Linked DNA regions of Oryza sativa Japonica Group. The protein of the gene in region 1 interacts with the protein of each later gene in a pairwise test. Links are inferred from orthologs where the notes say so. Each region holds a gene or a part of one and is shown on either strand. Other genes may lie near its edges. The genes, in order: 187-kDa microtubule-associated protein AIR9 and KIN14I.

Region 1 (3,052 bases):
TTTCTCTTGAACTAACTGGTGAGGCCATTGAGGGGACCACAATGGTTGCCAGCAGAAGATATTGGGGAGGAGAAGAAGGGGAGACCATATTCCGTTGGATATTGGTAGGTTCCTCTTATTAAAACACTACTCTTCCCTTTCACGTAACAATGGCACAGTGATTTGTAACTGCCTGGATGTACCAAGTTACCAGCTACATCCTTATAAACTTTTTTTGTGTCCACAGACTAGTTCAGATGGATCACAAAAACAAATTGAAGGGGCTGCAAGTTCATCATACACCTTGAACTGTAATGATATTGGCTTTTACATATCTGTCTTGTGTGAGCCTGTTAGAAGTGATGGAGTTCATGGTTCTTTGGTGTCAACAGAAGAGTCTGGTCCTATCTTACCTGGTAGATAAACTGATAACTTGACCACTTTGGCAAATAAGTGTTCTTATTTGGTTGTGTGGTTCAGCGTTTGTTCTTAATTTGAAAAACAATAAGTGGACTAAACGGAGGACTAACATTTTCGTAATTTACCTGTTTACAGGACCACCTACATGCTTATCTCTTGAGTTAGCTGGCCCTATGGTTGAAGGTGGCTGTTTGACCTTTCATGCTGAGTATACAGGAGGGTGAGATACATTACCTCCGTTTTAGATTATGTCTAATGCCGCACATTTGATGACATTATTTTTTTTTCTTTCTTATCATTCTAGTTTCAAGGGAGACTGCATCCAAGAATGGTTCAGATTACATTCTGATGGCAGCAAAGAGAAATTGTCTACTGATGGTTAGTTTACATTAAGCATTCTTTCATGGCATGCGTATAGTATCTATCTTTCACACACAGCTGCAATGTTTGTTTGTTCTTTTCTCTTTGCATAGCAAACTAATGGTTGATTGTTTGTATCTTAATAGAATGTCTAGATCTTACTCTAGACGATGTTGATTCGCGCATTGAGCTTATATTCACACCTGTACGAGATGATGGATCACAAGGGTCACCTAAGAGTGTTCTATCGGATACAATTCTACCTGGTTAGTTTTCCTCAGAATGTTATATTTTTGCGCTAGGACCTGAATATTTTATGTCAGTATGTATCTTGTCCACCAAAGCAGATAAGATGAATATAGTTTTGGGCATATTTCAGCATAAGCATAAGTGTGCTGTTGCGGGTCCTAGTTTTTTGTGCTAGGACCAGAACTAAACATAAGCATGGATGCCTGCTTATGTTTGCTGTTGCGGGTCCTAGTTTTGTTTTGACAAGCCTGTAATGGTCCAGGGGTAGCATTTCGTTTGTGGAATCTTCTGAACTAGGGCCGGCAGATTCTGGAGTGACCCTCATGTTTAGTTTCTAATCTTTTCTCTTTGCTTTTGTAAAGACTGCTGTTACTAGCCTATCATTTCTAGTAAAAGAAATGGGAGCCTTCTGGCTCTAGTTCAAAAAAAAAAAGTTTTGGGCATATTTCATCCATAATTTAATAATATTATTATAATCGATGTCATTAATTATTTGTTGGTCCATCATTGGCACAGGGGACCCCAAGGGTGTTGATCTTGTTCTACCAGAGTGTTTTCAAGACAATGAAATTTCTCCAATCAAAACCTACTTTGGTGGTAAGGAAGGCACTGGAAAATATACATGGTACCGAACTAAAGAGAAGCTTGACAACTTGGAGGCTGATCTGGTGGCTTCATGTTCTGAAGTTGGAGTAAATTTGTGCGTTCTCCTACTGATTTCATCAAGCTTGTTACTTTTGAATGGTTTAGGTTAAGAACTAATCCTCTTTGATCTAATGGAATGCTGTCAGGATGTACAAACCTTCGTTAGATGATGTTGGTTTCTACTTGATTCTTCACTGGGTTCCTGCACGATATGATGGAGAGATCGGTGACCCGTTGGTGGCTGTTACCAGTGACCCTGTCATGGCAGGTTGCCCATTGATCTTTTCCTTGCCAGTGTTGTGTGTTTACTACTACTGCCTGCACATCCTCAGTCCTTTACCAACCTTGCAGCATTTCCATCTGTTTCGGATGTTCACTTGAAGCAGAAAAGTTCATTGTTGTATAGCGGAACAGGAGTCTATTATGGTGGATATGAGGGGTCAAGCTTGTATAAGTGGTACAGGGAATCTAGTGATGGAACCAGGCATTGTATAGATGGTGCTGATTTAATTATATATGAAGTGACAGATGCAGATTATAGCCGCCGTCTACTGTTTGGGTAAGGCACTTTAATTTTTCTATTTTGAACTGGTCTTGCTCACATTTAAAATGACTTGGTTACATTGTGTTACTGCATAACCGATCAGGCTTCCATTTGTGGAATATGATATTTTGTAATTCTTGATAGGTACATTCCCGTTCGTTCTGATGGGATCATTGGAGAAGAAAGGCTCTCTGAGCCATCTGATATAATTCTCCCTGGTAATTTTAATATCTGAACCTATTACATACTGTTCTATGTTCACATTTTCCATGCAACTACATGTATTAATTCTCCTTTTCTTTCCAGAACGACTTAAAATCGAAGCACTCTCTTTCAAGGGAAATCAGGTTGAGAGAGAGACACTGACTGTTCTTGAACAAATTCCAAGCACTGCAGTTCAACAACATCTATGGAGTAACTACAAGAAAGAGATAACATATCAATGGTAATGCAAAGAGGTGTATGTCGTGAGTCATGACTTTGTCACATTGTTCAATATGGCATATAACACTTGCTGTGGATCTCTGGATGCAGGTTTGCTTCCAGTGGATCTGAAGTGGATCAGACTTTTGAGCCACTGGCTAACCAGTGCTCTCGCTCATACAAAGTACGTTTCGAAGATATTGGCCGATGCCTGAAATGTGAATGCTCAGTCTCTGATGTATTTGGACGATCCAGCGAATTGATATCCATTGTGACTGCTCCGATCTTACCAGGTTGGTTGTCTACCGCTTATGTCTTATTGATTAAATCAGCATGCGTATTGTAACTTTGTGAAACTGATGGATATTTTAGTTGAGCAAAATATTCATTATTTATTTCAAAATGGATAGGCCTGTAGAGGATCAGTCCATA
Region 2 (4,266 bases), on another chromosome or scaffold:
CCTATTTAACAAGCCCATCAGTTGGCTAAAAATCATGCCATGCTCATATGGTTATTATTAAACTACCCGACCAATAATAGCTTAATCACATGAAAGTTGCACCCGTACCAACAAAATATTATATGTGTCTGACTGAATTATTCTGAAGAACTCAACAGCATTAGCATATATCAATTTCAAATCTACTTGCAGAGGAGAAATGTAAATACCTCAACAGCATCAGCAACAGTTGTTGCCATGTCATATGTGATCTCTTCAAAAGTTTCATCCAAGAAAAAAACAATTGTTGTAAGCTTACGGCTGGATAAAAGAGCCTCTATCTCCTCCCGTGCAGGAATTGTAACCCTAGGGCCTGCCTTAACTGAGCGTTTCAGTGCATTTAGTGTGTTAAGTGCTAGAACTCGAACATCAGAATCAGTTGTAGCGCCATGAGCAATGTAGTGAACATACTCAGACAAGTATGCTCCAATATCTTTGCTTGGTGGCATGGATGACGCACATAAATACATAAGCTCCCAAGCTCTTATTAACCAAGCCCTGTAAGTACAAATAATAACATTCATAAGATGGTTGTATCCCATCGAATTGCTATCCATGAGAAATCTGCTTCATACCTGTCGGGATTGTTACGTGTTTGTTTTGAAATCTGTGCAAAGAGCTCATCTCTCAGTTCAGAACGTTTCAAAGTATGCTTGTAAAGCTTTGCAACAAGTTCAATTCTTTCATCCAAACTTATTATTGCTGGGGAATCGATGCCCATGTACTTCAGTATGACATGGAATAACTTAATTGAACGGCTTACAAGGTCACTACTTATTTTTAGCAATGACGTTGGAATAGGATCCTGCAAAAATAGACCAAAGAAACTCTGAATAATAGAAGCATCGCCATTTTTATCATAATCTTATACTTTTGCAAAGGATTTGAAAACATAAACAAATTGCTCAAAATGCAACCTAACAGATAATGTGGGGATTGATGGCATCACCTTTTGGAAGCACAACATATCTTCCAAGGTGAACTTTTCACGAACATGTGGTCCCACAGATTTCTTCGAAAAAAAACCACGTTTTCCAGCTGAATGGATCTGTTTTTGCATTGCCTTCAGAAAGCCCTCTACCTGTCATATACTCATATTTCAGTACTACGATTAACATGGCAGTCATATTAATTCATTATGCATGCGTACTGACACTAATAATCGATTCTATTGAAATATTTCCATGCTCCTATTGAATCACTGCAGTCTACAGGTACTGAACGCAGGGACAAAATTTACAAATAAACACAGAACTCTAACGAACTAAGTTAAATCCAAGATTCAAGTATGATCCAGTTTACAACCAATGAGAAGATTGTGAGGAGCCTTTCCCAATTCTTCAGCCTGGTAAGTTTCCTACTTGCAAATACTAATGTTAAGGACAAAAGGACTAATGACAACGAGGTAGACAAGCCTATTTATTCAAGTTAGAATAGTGCAAAATGCATAGCTATATGAATACTTATCCTTTCTCTCAATATGTCACCATCCATTTATAGAGAAAACATCAATTCTTAGTTGTTACAGGATCTCGTCAAATTTATTGCATGGTGATAATTATGATGGGCATCTTCCGTCTCAAACAATCAACTGTTGCAATTGTTCAGCAAAACAATGCCTCAGCTCTAAAGTGTACGCTCTTGTAAACCACTAAAGGCACAACATGGTCATCAATCGTAATGTAAACAATTGAACATGGATGAGATATTGCTATCGCCATGGGATGTATCACACCATTGGGAATGCTAGCATATACCTGGAACCTATCAATAAGTGGAATTGCTCCAGCAAGTTCCGGAGGTATGGACATAGACAAAGTCGTCGGGGTACTGCAAAAACAGTAATGCAGAGAGTAAATAGGGATCCATTCTACCTCACAGAGCAAATAAAAATCGCATGTGAATGTGCACGGAACACAGCTTGGTAAATAGGGATCCAATGGCGAAGTTCAGAATAACAAAAAATTTGGTACCCGAAGCATTTAAGCAGTAGTAAGGTAGGCCAGGATTCAAGTACAACAAACACACCCAATTATAGCGACACTAATCCAAAATAAATGAGTAAATCCTTCTCTCAACCCAACTTTTCCTCTACTTTCCAGCAGCCTGGGAAACTTTTAGGTAATCATACACAATAGAAAATTCAAAACCTCAGACGAACAAAACTTATCCGAAATTTCAGCAGGAAATCAAAAATCGCTAAACCGACAGCAGAAACACCAGGAGGAGGAGACAAGCACTCACGGTGGCGCGAAGCTGTAGCCGTCGCTGTCGTACCCATCGCCGCCGCTGGCGCCGCCACCGTTCATGCTGGAGGTCGCCGAGCCATGCAGCGGCGTGGCGGCAGTAGCCGCGCCGTTGCTTCCACCGACGCCGCCGGCCGCCATCTCCCTTATCCACCCCGCTCCTCAGAGACGCAACCCCTCAACCTCAAGCCTCAACTCCCATCCACCACGCAGCAATCGCTACCAACCACCACCAGAACCCCCTGAACCCCCTGAACCCCGCCCCCGTTAGCCGGCGTGGAGCAGGCGAGCAGCGCGGCCCTCAGATCCAGCGACACCCAAAAAACGCAAGCAGAAGCACCAGCTCAGAGCTCCGCGCCCCTCCCCGCTCCGTGCAGCTCGACGAATGGACGCAGATCCCGCCAATGCAGGCCTCGAAAGTATAGACAGACAGCTACTCGCACGGCGTGTCGGGGTGTGGGGAGAGGACCGGGTCGCCGCCGCGTCCGCCCGCGGCCGGCAGGACGAGATCCAAGCCAAGGGGCGGCGCGGGGCGGTGCAGGAGGAGGAGGAGAGAGAGAGAGAGAGAGAGAGAGAGAGAGAGAGAGAGAGAGGAGAGAGAGAGAGAGAGAGGTGGGAGGGAGACAGGGAGAGGCGAGGGGCTCACGAGAGGGAGGAGTAGTGGTGGCGAGGACGAGGAGGCGGAGGCGGAGGATTAAAGAAATCACGCAGCAGCGCCAGCGAGGGAATTACTACTCGCTCTCGCTTCGATTTTGATTTTTCGGGGGGGAGGTGCGCTTGAGGAGAACAGTTTGCGTTGTTTTTTTAAAAAAAAAAAAAAAAAGAAGAAGCAAGGGGGGAGGTGTCCTGTTGGGCCCACTCTACAGTGATGACATGGCCGTCAAGCGTGAACCGCGCGATGAGCAACGTGACACACAGCATGCATCCTGACGTGAAGATTTTTACTTCTCGTACTCTAGTCCAGGCAGTAGATGAGTTGATTTTCATTTGCCTATTTGCAGCTTCACGTATTAGTATAAACATAGAGTCGTATCTGGTATGCAATGATATGCTAATGGTAATACTGGTAACTCTTTTTTTTTTGGATTTTATAGTACGTACTGAATCACGCAATTTATTTGTGCAATGAAGTGAAGCGTACTAAACCAAAATGCATTCATTTACCCCGCATGAGTTGGAATTGAACGAATCCCATGTCGGATGTCCCCCCCCCCCCCCCCCCCCGCGATTCCACGTGTAGCGATTATGGGTCCTACGGGAGAGCAAATAGGATATGACATCGCTTTCTGTCCCGTTCCTCCCATCTCAAATTCTTAATTTGTCCTGGCATTTTGCAAGCCTATATATTCCTTCAATATTGGGAATGTTGTTGCATCCAGCCTACTCCTCCTAGTATAACGGCAAACAAGAAAAAAAAACATTAAGTTTGGCAGAACGTGGTGTCCTCGAACTCGTTTTGCAGTAAAACCGAGAAACATCCGGTATACTACTATCGATTTTGCTGGCGCCGCTTGTGCAGTTGTGCTGATATAGTGGGTGTATAGATGGTAGTGAAAATAAATTTTATTAAATTTTAGCATTAACTAAATGTAAGTATTTTTTAACAACTTAAAAATAATGCTCCCTCCGTCTCAAAAATAACAACTTTTATCTCTCAGAATTTGTTTGAAAATATAACAACTTCTCCATCAACATTCTCTTCTCAACCAATCACAACCTTTCATCATTCACTTTTTCCACCTATCTCACTAATCATCTAATCATAACCTCCACCATTCATTTCTACATACTTTCTTAACAATTGTGTCTAACTCTTAACGATGGATGGAGTACAGGATTAAAAATAATGTCAATCTAACATCCCCGTAGAGCGCGAAGCAACTGGCCAGACTACTGTTCGCGTGGCCGTGCACCGCCACCTAACGACGGCATCTCGCGGCCCAACACGCGCGGCGGCAATAAGGGGAGAGACGACGAGCTA

What was found.
Region 2: the proteins of 187-kDa microtubule-associated protein AIR9 (region 1) and KIN14I interact in binary tests that used the Arabidopsis thaliana proteins (3 or more experiments, as listed by UniProt). The link is inferred for Oryza sativa Japonica Group from reciprocal best matches to the Arabidopsis thaliana genes AIR9 and ZWI.

The regions. Positions count from the first base shown.
Region 1 is NC_089041.1:2,552,081-2,555,132, forward strand, and holds part of 187-kDa microtubule-associated protein AIR9, read left to right. Parts: coding exon 1-104; intron 105-226; coding exon 227-395; intron 396-534; coding exon 535-619; intron 620-703; coding exon 704-777; intron 778-905; coding exon 906-1,025; intron 1,026-1,524; coding exon 1,525-1,708; intron 1,709-1,799; coding exon 1,800-1,921; intron 1,922-2,004; coding exon 2,005-2,212; intron 2,213-2,341; coding exon 2,342-2,415; intron 2,416-2,503; coding exon 2,504-2,642; intron 2,643-2,731; coding exon 2,732-2,913; intron 2,914-3,052. UniProt on the Arabidopsis thaliana protein: Microtubule-associated protein that may be involved in the maturation of cell plates and proper insertion of cross-walls after cytokinesis.
Region 2 is NC_089038.1:34,567,072-34,571,337, forward strand, and holds the start of KIN14I (kinesin-like protein KIN-14I), read right to left. Parts: upstream 2,912-4,266; 5' UTR 2,349-2,911; coding exon 2,284-2,348; intron 1,870-2,283; coding exon 1,797-1,869; intron 1,121-1,796; coding exon 989-1,120; intron 845-988; coding exon 615-844; intron 538-614; coding exon 210-537; intron 1-209. UniProt on the Arabidopsis thaliana protein: Minus-end microtubule-dependent motor protein involved in the regulation of cell division and trichome morphogenesis through microtubules bundling. Possesses basal and microtubule-stimulated ATPase activities.